3 linked regions of the Alligator mississippiensis genome follow. The protein of the gene in region 2 interacts with the protein of the main gene of each other region in a biochemical or structural test. Links are inferred from orthologs where the notes say so. Each region holds a gene or a part of one and is shown on either strand. Other genes may lie near its edges.

Region 1 (3,744 bases), on a different chromosome or scaffold from region 2:
ACCCAGCGCCCCGACGCGCTGCCCTGCCGCCCGCACCGCAGAGCCCAGTGCCCCGGTGCGCTGCCCGCACTGCGCTGCCCGCACTGTGTCGCCCAGCGCCCCGACGCGCTGCCCCGCCGCCTGCACTGCAGAGCCCTGCTCCCTGCCCCGACGCGCTGCCCTGCCGCCCGCACCGCAGAGCCCAGTGCCCCGGTGTGCTGCCCGCACTGTGCCGCCCAGTGCCCCGACACGCTGCCTGCACTGCAGAGCCCTGCTCCCCGCCCCGCCGCGCTGCCCTGCCGCCCGCACCACAGAGCCCAGGGCCCCGATGTGCCACCCACACCGTGCCACCCAGCGCCCCGACGCGCTGCCCTGCCGCCCGCACCGCAGAGCCCAGGGCCCCGACGTGCCACCCACACCATGCCACCCAGAGCCCCGCCGCGCTGCCCCGCCGCCTGCACTGCAGAGCCCTGCTCCCTGCCCCAACGCGCTGCCCTGCCGCCCGCACCGCAGAGCCCAGGGCCCCGATGTGCCACCCACACCGTGCCACCCAGCGCCCCGACGCGCTGCCCTGCCGCCCGCACCGCAGAGCCCAGTGCCCCGGTGCGCTGCCCGCACTGCGCTGCCCGCACTGTGTCGCCCAGCGCCCCGACGCGCTGCCCCGCCGCCTGCACTGCAGAGCCCTGCTCCCTGCCCCGACGCGCTGCCCTGCCGCCCGCACCGCAGAGCCCAGTGCCCCGGTGTGCTGCCCGCACTGTGCCGCCCAGTGCCCCGACACGCTGCCTGCACTGCAGAGCCCTGCTCCCCGCCCCGCCGCGCTGCCCTGCCGCCCGCACCACAGAGCCCAGGGCCCCGATGTGCCACCCACACCGTGCCACCCAGCGCCCCGACGCGCTGCCCTGCCGCCCGCACCGCAGAGCCCAGGGCCCCGACGTGTTGCTCTCGCCATGCCGCCCAACACGATGCCCTGCGCCCTGCCGCCGCACGGCGATGCCCAGCGCCCGACGCGCCGTGTATCCCTGCCCGCTGCCCCGAGGCGCCCCCGCGCCCCCGCCTCGGGGAGGGGCAGCGATGTCACGGTGGCGGGCGGCCGCGTGCCCCGCGCATGGTGCCAGCCCCCCCGCCCCGCCCCGCCCCGCCCCGCCCCGCTCACCTGCACGGGGGGCCCGGCCTGGGGGGGCCACACCCCGCACGTGGCACGAGGGGGCACCCCGGGCTGCCTGGGCAAAAGGGGGCAATCCCGGGGGGGCCGCGCTCACCTGCCGCCGCCTGCGCCGGGGGGAGGAGGGGGGGGCCGCGGCTCCTTCCTCCCCCCGCAGGCCCCGCCCCCCCGGACTGCCCCCCATTGCCCGGGGAGAGGGGAAAGGGGCGGGGCGCGGTGCACGCCGGGCGTTGTAGTCCCGCGGGGCGGGGCGGGGCGGGGCGGGGCGGCGCGGTGCATGCCGGGAGACGGAGTGGTCGCGGGGCAGGCCGGGAGGTGTAGTGCGGCGCGGGGCGGCGCGGGGCGCGGAGCCATGCAGAAATACGAGAAGCTGGAGAAGATCGGGGAAGGTGCGGGCCGGGCCGGGCCGGGCCGGGCCGGGCGGGCGGGGGGGGGGGGCAGGGTTGGACCCGGGATCGGGCCCATCCATGCGCGGGGGCGGGGCGCGGGATCGGGCCCGCTGACCCCCCGCCCCGCCCCGCCCCGCCCCCCCCGCAGGGACGTACGGGACCGTGTTCAAGGCCAAGAACCGGGAGACGCACGAGATCGTGGCGCTGAAGCGGGTGCGGCTGGACGACGACGACGAGGTGCGGGGGGGAGGGGCACCGCGACACGTGGGTCGGGGTGGGGGGGCACGTGCCCCCCCTTGACCCGTGGCCGGTGCCGCCGCAGGGGGTGCCCAGCTCGGCGCTGCGCGAGATCTGCCTGCTCAAGGAGCTGAAGCACAAGAACATCGTCAGGTCGGGATCGGGGCCGGGGCGGGGTGGGGGTGGGGGTCCGGGCCCCGGCCCCGCCCCGGCTCACGGCCCTGTCCGCAGGCTGCACGACGTGCTGCACAGCGACAAGAAGCTGACGCTGGTCTTCGAGTTCTGCGACCAGGTAGGGCCGCGGGGGGCCGCGGGGCCCCCACCCCCGCTGTGACCCCTGACCCGACCCCTGACCCCGCGCTGTCCCGCCCAGGACCTCAAGAAGTACTTCGACAGCTGCAACGGGGACCTGGACCCCGAGATCGTCAAGGTGGGCGCGGGGCGCGGGGGGCGGCGCTGGACCCGCGTCGGCGTCGGTGCCGGTGCCGGGCGGCGCTGATACCGCGCTCCTCCGCAGTCCTTCATGTACCAGTTGCTGAAGGGCCTCGGCTTCTGCCACAGCCGCAACGTGCTGCACCGCGACCTCAAGCCCCAAAACCTGCTCATCAACCGGGTGAGTCGGGGCGCCGGGGCCGGGGCCGGGGCCGGGGGGGCTGGCAGCGCGCGGGGCGGCCGTGACGCCGCGCCGTGCTCCGCAGAACGGGGAGCTCAAGCTGGCGGATTTCGGCCTGGCCCGCGCCTTCGGCATCCCCGTGCGCTGCTACTCGGCCGAGGTGAGTGCGCGCCCGCGGCCCTCGCGCCGTGCGGGGCACCCCCACCATGCCACGGCGCGTGGGGGGACTGCCTTGCACCACCCCGCACCTCGGTGCTGCCGGGGTCGAGCGCCCACCTGCCCCCGCCCCCCGCGGCGCCCTGCCCCCGTGCCCCTGGCCCGGGGGGGTGTGCGGCGCACTGCCCGTCCGTGCCCCGCAGGTCGTCACGCTGTGGTACCGGCCCCCGGACGTGCTCTTCGGCGCCAAGCTCTACTCCACCTCCATCGACATGTGGTCGGCCGGCTGCATCTTCGCAGGTGCCGGGGCGCGTGGGCCGGCGGCGCGGCGCGGCCTGGCTGGGCTGGGGGCCGGGAGTCTGCCGGCTGCCCGCTGACCCCTCGCGCTCCTCTCCGCAGAGCTGGCCAACGCGGGGCGGCCCCTCTTCCCCGGCAACGACGTGGACGACCAGCTGAAGAGGATTTTCCGATATCCTTGGGTACGAGGGGGCGGGACAGGGCGTGTGGGGGGTCTGTGGCTGCTGGGTGTCGGGCCTCATGGCCCCAAGGTCCCTTCTGGTCCCGTGGCCCTTAACTCGGCCGCCCACGCTGCTGGGCACCCCGACTGAGGAGCAGTGGCCAGCCATGACCAAGCTTCCCGACTACAAGGTAGGCAGGGGCAGCTGCCTGGGACAGGGGCGAGGGGCAGGGAGCCCCCGGACTCACGCCGCCCGTCCCCGCAGCCTTACCCCATGTACCCGGCCACGACGTCGCTGGTGAATGTGGTGCCCAAGCTGAATGCCACCGGCCGGGACCTGCTGCAGGTGAGAGCGCCGCCCCGCCCCGCCAGGGACTCGGCCTCCGCGGCGGGCACGGCCTCGCATGCCTGGGGGGCCCCGGGGTCGTCGTCTCCTGCCCCCTGCGCAGGGGTGGCTGTGCGTCTCTGGCTCCTGCTGCTCCCATGCTGGGGAAGCCTCTCCAGCTGGGCCCCGAATCTGCAGCCCCTGCCGCCCCACCCCGTGCTGCCTTGTGCCCTGTGCGGGCATAGCTGGGTCCCTGCCAAGCGGGGCGTCCTCGGGGCTGCAGCACGTGGGGTGGGAGCCAGCTGCCCCTCTGCCTCCTCTCAGCACCCCCCTTAGCCAGGCCACCTTGGACCCCAGGCTGCCCCAGCTCCTGCGGTAGGGGTGGGTGTCCCGGGGGTGAGGGCATTGCTCCCTGCGGCCGGGCCA
Region 2 (3,744 bases):
TTCTCATTTCTTACACAAATGTTCGTGAAGATTTTCTTTTAATTGTACACATTATAATAGATTCTATTAGATTTTTTGCAGTATAATTGCTAGGGTTAATGAAAAGTGTGAAATAATCAATACTGTTTTTGTTTTTATTGTTTTACTGTTCATTTTGAATATCAAATAAGTACATGTAAAAGTTCATTCTAGACTTCTTATTTTCCTCTATATTGGAAGTGGTGGGGGCACCAAGGTAAACAGTTTGCCTAAGGTGCCAGTTACCCTTGGACCGGCCCTAAGTGTGAGTGTGGATGGTGTCACTTTACTGTGGAGCTAATTTGTCAACTCCACAGTAAAGCACACATGTAGATGCACCCAGTGGCAGCTTACTGTTACCATCTTTCTCTTATGAAAGTTGTTCACTGAAGCATCCCAGTAAACACAAACAAATATGGTAAATCTTCAACGATCTACAGTGTTGACCATAAAAGAAAGCATTGATCTTTCTACCCATGATCACTAATCATACGAATAGGACAGGTGCTCTCCAAACCAGCAAAGTTAAGGACAGAATTTAGCAGTTGACAGACAATAAATTATAGCAAAAAATCAAAAATATGCATTTAATAATTAATTATGAACATGGATATTTAACAGGAGGACAATGGTTTTTAATCAGTCTTTAAATACCTTTTTATAACACTTGCAGTTCACCTTCTTTGCAACAACTGGATGTCAAGATAAAAATCGTTCTGATATTTTAGAATGTTAGAAAAGACCAAATCCCAAAGTCTTCACAGTCATGTTAATGGAAAGTTGCCTCATTGAGGGCATCAAGATTTTATATTCTATTTGTTTCTATGCTGGGTTATTAGAGCCTCATGGGTATTTCCTACCAAAGAAATGGTTATATATAAAAATGTTTTTTCACCTATTGGGTTAAATAGTGGTTCAGTGGAACTGCACAGCTTCTCTTTGTATCTTCCCTATAATAAATGGCTAAAGAACTGAATCCCAAATAGAGGCTTAACAATGCAGCTACTTGCCCATGGCAGCTGTGACGTAAGAGAGCAGCAGCAACTTCCAGATGCCTCTTGCCACTGGTGTGATCACGACGCTGCAGAAGCCCCGGTTCCCCTGCCCTAGCTATGTTTCTGCCCACAAACAAAAATAATATCAGGTCAAAGAATCTTCTAGCTGATCTTGCAACAGAAGGTCAATAATCTGATCTTCAGCAGGAGTAGGGTGACCAAGCCTGACTGGGAAAGGTTCAATTGAGGTGTTACTGACAACTCAGAAGCTAGGGGCTTCTTTGCTATCCTCTAGCAATACCAAAGGTAAACTGTACAATTCTAAGGGCTTCCCTACATTAGAAAAATCAATATTGTCATATTAATACAAACTTCCCTAATACAGACAAGATTTAGGCCACGATTTCATTAAACAGCTTAGGATGCAAAAGAGATTCTCACTTTTAGGTAACATGCTATGGAAATGCTAGCCCTCTTATCAGATGAAAGCAGGCCTGTGCGAAGTGGCTAGTATTCGCTTCAGATTTGGCTGATTCAGGGGACAGTGATTCAATTTGGTGATTCAAATCACTGTCCTGATTTGATTCAGCCAAATCTGATTCAGAGATTTGGCTGCTGCTGAATCTCCAAATCAGCCAGGCCCATCCCCCCCAGCTGGGCAATCGCTGCCCTGCCCACCCCAGCTCCTGGCACTTGTTAAAAAAAAAAGCCCCGACTCAGTGGGTGTTGCCGGGCAGGTGGTGATCCCTGCTGCCCCCCACTGCCCCATGCTGCATGGCGGGCTCTGCCATGAGCCCCCCAACCCCCCCTGTCTGAGCCCCAGCCCTTCCCATGGCTGCCCTGTCCACCGTGATGGCCCTTTAAGAACTCCCCCCCAAACCCCCCCCCGACACACCATTCCTGCTGGTGGGAGCGATCCACATGAGACCCTAGAAGCCCCAAGGCTGCTGCAGGAGCTGGTGAGTCTTGGGGTTTTTCTTGTTTTTTTTTTTCTTAAACGGCCAGCGCTGACCCAGGCAGGGCAGCCGTGGGGAGCCTGGGGGAGTGAGGGGGGGGGGGTCGGGGGGCTCATGCAGAGACCTCCATGCAGAGTGGGGCAGTGGGGGGCAGCCAGGATTGATTCCCCGCTCAGCAGCACCCAATGAGCACTGGGGCTTTTTAAAAAAATGCCAGGAGCTGGGGTAGATGGGGCACCCGTGGGAGGGCTGGGGGAGCAGGCAGGGGATACGGGCTGGCAGGGGTCCCCCATGGTCCCCTCCCCCATCACCCTCCCACTTACCAGAATGGAGTCTGGGTCCAGCTCCCTGCTACAGCCACCAGGGACTGTCCGAAGAATCAAAGCTCTCCGAATCTTTTCCGAAGATTCAGAGAGCTTTGAATCAATTCAGACCTTTTAATTGCTCCCCTGATTTGATTTGTATTCAGAGATTCGGCCACCAAATCGGGCCAAATCTCCTCCAAATTTAATCACTACCCGAAGCTTTGCACAGCCCTAGATGAAAGATATTTGATTTGGTTATTTTTTAAATAAAGCTTCAAGAACATTTTTGTCTAAAGATGTGACCCTTATTCCAAAGGGTCTGAAACAAAGCTCTTTTGTTGAGGGCATGCTTCTTAAAGCACTATGCAATTCAAATAGGTATATTCTGAGATGTAAAAAGAAATTACTTACTTTGACACTCCTGAAGCTTGATGTCATATTTGTAATCAAGGACTGTCTGGTCAGTTCTTGCAAGAGGAATATCTTCATAATGTGGTGAAGAAATGCTAGAAAAATCAACGGTTGTAAATGGCTTTATATCGAAGGAATGGGAGTGATCATCCATTGCAGAGAGATCCACTGAGTTAATTCCAAAATTAATCGGCCAAAATGGCATTTCTGTGTCAACCATTGTAATTCCTACCAAAAAAAAAGGAGAAAAACAGACAGACATTTAAAGAGTTGGCTTTTTCTTTGTGCAATGGGGCTTGAAAGCTTCATATGACAAAGTGATTTTGGGAATAAATGACAAAAATATACACAGGAAGCATGATATACTGAGAATTTAAACTATCATATTAACTTGCACACCTTTCCCCAGAACTGGAATACATTGTTGTAAGCTGGGAAGCTAATTTTTTTCTGCCCAAAAAAGAAGCAGGAAGATGCTGTAAAGTGGCTTCTGCTTCTTTTCCTTCTTTTCCCTCCAGCAGCCCCATTTAGGGAGGGGCGGAGTCCAGCAGGGGCAGATCCAGAAGGGGGTGGAGTGGTGCAATCACAACCCATTTTCATTCCTGCTCAACCCAAATTTAAAGACAAATGTACAGGACAGCAGCAGCATTTCTATTCAGGACTGGCTGAGGGAGTCAATTGATTTCATGTCTCATCATAATCTAACTGATTCCTGCTAACTGCTCTCACTTCACAGGTGTTAACACCCCTGTCTCTTTTGTTAATGGTCTTAATTAGGCCTGTGTGAATAGGCAGCTATATGATTCAGCTTCGGATCCGGCTGCTTCAGATGCCAGGGATCCAATCCAGAGCTCCGGATTGGGTTCCCGCTTCGATTCGGCAGAAATGGCTCTGAAGCTTCAGAGCTGCTTTGGAGATCCGGCCATAGGGTGTAATGGGGAATCAATGAAATATCTATAACTTTGTTGTTTTTGTCTGATCTGGATGAAACTTGCAGAGATGGTAGCCTATGCTGAGAGCATGAAGCCTACCAAGTTTCAATAAGATAGGTGTAGGGGT
Region 3 (3,744 bases), on a different chromosome or scaffold from region 2:
GCTTTAACCCTTTGACATCCTCAAGAATAAAGTTATCTGCCACTGCAGACACTGTAAAGCAAAATACCTATGCAACTTAGCTGGATTCAAGCCACTAATTGAAATACATTAGATGTTAAGATAACCACTAATATAGACTTTAAAAAGTCTATAGAAATGAACTGATAACATTTACTGGATTTAAAATATTTAAACACCCATAGCCGAGTTATATGGGGCTGTGGTCATAATTATCTTACAGACCTCATACAAAGTAGTGTTAAGGGTATTCACTGAAATGTATCTCTGCAGGTCCATACTCTCTAGTGTTTAAGCTATTAAAAGTTTAAACAGTTTACAAAGTTACAAAGTTTACAAAGCCTGGATTTCCAAAATTTCAAGGGAGTTTACTAGATGCACAGTATTTCTAGGCTAAAATATTTCATTGCACTTAACATGAAACTGCCTTAACAGCAAGCTCCTTAACAAGCAACTTCTTCATTTAAGATCTAGAGACAGGCTTTTACGGATAGTGTTGACCACAGGAACTCCAGTTTGTGGACATCTATATTAAAAAGAAGAATTGAAACCTAAGGTAGGGAGGGATTTCGTAACTGTATCACCTGGAGAAGTGACAAACATACTTCAGAAAAACAGCAGGTCTACAAACAGGAGCCAGTTAGGGTGAGGGGCCTTTATAATGAGAATTAGGAGCCCAGTACCACCACACAAAATGTCATGATAAAGCCAAAAGCAATCAGGGCTTGTAGTAGAGATAACATCTTTTATTAGACCAACAAGATCTTGCAAAAAAAATTCTTTAAATTGCAAGCTTTTGGGCACAAACACCCTTCATCAGGCATTGGAGAAAAGATTGTAAAAGTTCTCCTGGGTAGAAACAAAAGTTCTTATTTCACAGGATTTCACAGAGGAGTCAATAAATGGAAAATTCCTCTGGGCAGGCAGATACCTGACACATGATAAAGCCAAGATAGTCTAAGCTAAGTTTTAAATGAAGAATTGTGATCCAATGAATAGGGTGGTAAATTAGAAGGCAAAGAGACACCCTCCCCCCCCCCCCCCCACACACACACACAGTTCAAAAGTGACCACTAACTTTGGGTGCGTGACTGGACACATCTATTGTCCAATTTTCTAAAGGTCTTGATGTACACAACTCTGCATGGAGCCTCTAAATTCAGTGAGTGCATGCACAGAATCAAATTAAGCAAAGATGACATTTAATGTTACTCCTCTGCTTTGTCTCTATTTAAATCCCCCCCAAAATGCACCACTTCAATTAGGTTGTATATACATATCAGTGTAACTGAAATGTAAAGACAAAATATTTTATTTTAACCTTGTAGGTATAAGAAAGACTACACTTGCTATAACTGTAAATATAACAGGTGTCAGCATCTGATTAAGTGAATCTGAGGCTCAATGCTTGCGTGCACTCACTCTCTCATACTGCACGTGTGGGCAAGTGAGTAGGCATGAGACAGATATTGACAAGTATTTGCAACCTAATTAAAGTGGTGCACGTTGGGGGGGATTTAAAGAGAAACAAAGCAGAAGACTAAAATTAAATGTCATCTCTGCTTGATTCCCACCAAAATTCTTGTACATATCTTAGCTCGCTCTCAAAGCCTGCCTCTGGAGAGCCAGTGGAGAAGTCCGATACCCAACTCAGCTCAAGCACAACCATCCCAGATGGCTCTACTGTCAACTAAAGGGAACTTCCCCCAGAAGGCTAGAAAGGGTTTGTTACCTGGCTCCTTTCCAAAGGGGCTGTGGAGGATTCAAATATAAGTCACTGACTGAATGTAGGGGCCAGTTTTGCCTGCACTTGTTCAAGGTTGAGAAACAGGGGAAACAAACCCAACAGGGGCCCAGGCAGAATAAAAAGCCCTGCACTAGACAAGCAAGTCTCCATGCTGATACTGCACTGATGTCCCCGCGGCTTTGGGAGGAAGCCAACCTGTCCCCCCACTCACCCCCACCCCCAAAGTAAAACCTCGGCCTTCGTTAGCCCTTTCCGGATCAGGCCGCTGCTTCCCCTCCGCGGGCTCGGGCCTGCCGTGCAGTGCAGGACAGGACAGGACGGGCCGGGGCAGGCGGGGGCCTGGCGCGCGGACCGAGCGGCGGGGTCAGCGCAGCTCAAGGGCAGGGGTCCGGGGCGGGCGTAGCCGGCCCAGCCCGAGCACTGGCGGCCGCAGTGCGCGGCAGCGCTGCATGGGGCCGCGGCCGAGCGGAGCCGAGCCGAGCCGGCCGGGGGAGGAGCCGCGCGGGGGGCGGGCTCGCTGCGACCAGGCCGGCTCCAGACAACAGGAGCCGGCGGCTCGGCCGGACCGTGACAGCGCGGGGCCTGCGGACAACGCGGCTCCGCCCGCGCCGGGGCCCTGCTTTGTGCTGCGGCCGGGGGGGCCAGACCCGCCCCGCCCCGCCCCGCGGGCCCGGCCCGCACCGCCAGGCCGCTCCCTCACACCCGCCGCCCCGCTTCCGCTTCCCTGTCACAGCCGCCCCGGCCCGGCCTGACGGGCTGCACGGAGGGGCCCGGCCCGGCCTCTGACCTCAGGCCCGGCCCGGCCCGGCCCGGCCCGGCTCAGCCCCTCCCCGCCCTGCCCTGCCCTGCCCTGCCCTGCCCTGACCTTGGGGCGCCGCCGCGGGCCCGCTCCGCGCGGCTGCCGCGAGCCGAGGCCCGTGTTGGGCCCCGCTCCGCCGGGCCGCGCCGGGCCGGGGTCGGTTCGGTGCCTGCCCAGCGCCCAGGACGCGCCCGCAGCCGCCGCGGCTCCGCCCTCGGCACCACGTGACGGGCCGGGACACGCCACCGCCGCGCCTGCCGCCCAGCGCGCCCGGGGAGGCCGCTCGCCCGAGCCCCGCCCCGCCCCGCCCGCGGCCCCGGGGACGGGCCTGCCGGCCTGCCGCGCGCGGCGCCCCGACTGTGCGGGCGGCTCCCCGCCACCGGCCTCGTACGGCCCCGCGCACATCCCCGGCCTTCCAGCGTGGAGCTCGAGAACAGCGACCCCGCGCACGCACCCTCCCTTGTCAGGCGGGGAAGCTCAGGGGCTGAAGTCCTCCTGCCCCCCAGCGCACCTGCAGTGAAACCCGAGGCCTTGCGCCCAGGAACCAGGCTCGAGTCATGCCCCACGGCTGCTGAACCTTCGTGGCCCCCAGCACAACGTCTTATTAATCCATGACTGGTGTGTCTCTGTGACACCACAGGCTAAACTGTTCCCCCACCTTTGGACCAGTCGCTCTACACCCCCAATCCAGACCGCTGAAGCTTGCCTAGCTTCTGGTGATTTGTGTTGCTATTTCTATCCAGCTCTGCAATCCAAAGTCACTGCCTGGATAAAGCTGTAGAAGGAAAATGGGGCCTTTGTAGAAAAATAGTAGGTGGCACAGCTTGATACCTACAGCACTTTCAAAGCTAGAGTCTCAATCTGCTTTATAAATATCAGTAAATTATTCCTTTATCACATCTCTGTCTTACAGCAGGGTAACCTGAGGCAGTCAGACATAGTGGAGTGGAGGGGTTTTAACTGTGCACATACGCACAGTTAATTAGTAAGGCTCCAGTCTTACAAGATGTTTTGTGCAGGCAGGTTATTGCACCTGTCTGAAATAGCATGGAAGTCCACCTGAAAATGGCTTAAAAGATGAGCAGCCATAGGATTTTACATGCTGGTCCTATAAAGTTGTTAAAACGAGCAATGCTAAGGTAACACAGGAAATCTGTGGCACTGGGAACAGCAGTTCAGT

What was found.
Region 1: of the proteins of PPARG (region 2) and CDK5, one has a biochemical effect on the other in vitro, tested with the Homo sapiens proteins (3 studies listed by BioGRID, with this or other methods). The link is inferred for Alligator mississippiensis from reciprocal best matches to the Homo sapiens genes PPARG and CDK5.
Region 3: the proteins of PPARG (region 2) and NCOA6 interact in a test that uses a peptide from one of them, tested with the Homo sapiens proteins (2 studies listed by BioGRID). The link is inferred for Alligator mississippiensis from reciprocal best matches to the Homo sapiens genes PPARG and NCOA6.

What each region holds. Positions count from the first base shown.
Region 1 is NC_081828.1:220,005,693-220,009,436, reverse strand, and holds the start of CDK5 (cyclin-dependent kinase 5), read left to right. Parts: upstream 1-1,420; 5' UTR 1,421-1,493; coding exon 1,494-1,530; intron 1,531-1,678; coding exon 1,679-1,767; intron 1,768-1,852; coding exon 1,853-1,920; intron 1,921-1,998; coding exon 1,999-2,059; intron 2,060-2,140; coding exon 2,141-2,197; intron 2,198-2,284; coding exon 2,285-2,380; intron 2,381-2,465; coding exon 2,466-2,540; intron 2,541-2,739; coding exon 2,740-2,836; intron 2,837-2,935; coding exon 2,936-3,005; intron 3,006-3,123; coding exon 3,124-3,184; intron 3,185-3,258; coding exon 3,259-3,339; intron 3,340-3,744. UniProt on the Homo sapiens protein: Proline-directed serine/threonine-protein kinase essential for neuronal cell cycle arrest and differentiation and may be involved in apoptotic cell death in neuronal diseases by triggering abortive cell cycle re-entry. Interacts with D1 and D3-type G1 cyclins.
Region 2 is NC_081835.1:30,992,526-30,996,269, forward strand, and holds the start of PPARG (peroxisome proliferator-activated receptor gamma), read right to left. Parts: upstream 2,909-3,744; 5' UTR 2,906-2,908; coding exon 2,686-2,905; intron 1-2,685. UniProt on the Homo sapiens protein: Nuclear receptor that binds peroxisome proliferators such as hypolipidemic drugs and fatty acids.
Region 3 is NC_081832.1:23,729,890-23,733,633, reverse strand, and holds the start of NCOA6 (nuclear receptor coactivator 6), read right to left. Parts: upstream 2,740-3,744; 5' UTR 2,631-2,739; intron 1-2,630. UniProt on the Homo sapiens protein: Nuclear receptor coactivator that directly binds nuclear receptors and stimulates the transcriptional activities in a hormone-dependent fashion. Coactivates expression in an agonist- and AF2-dependent manner.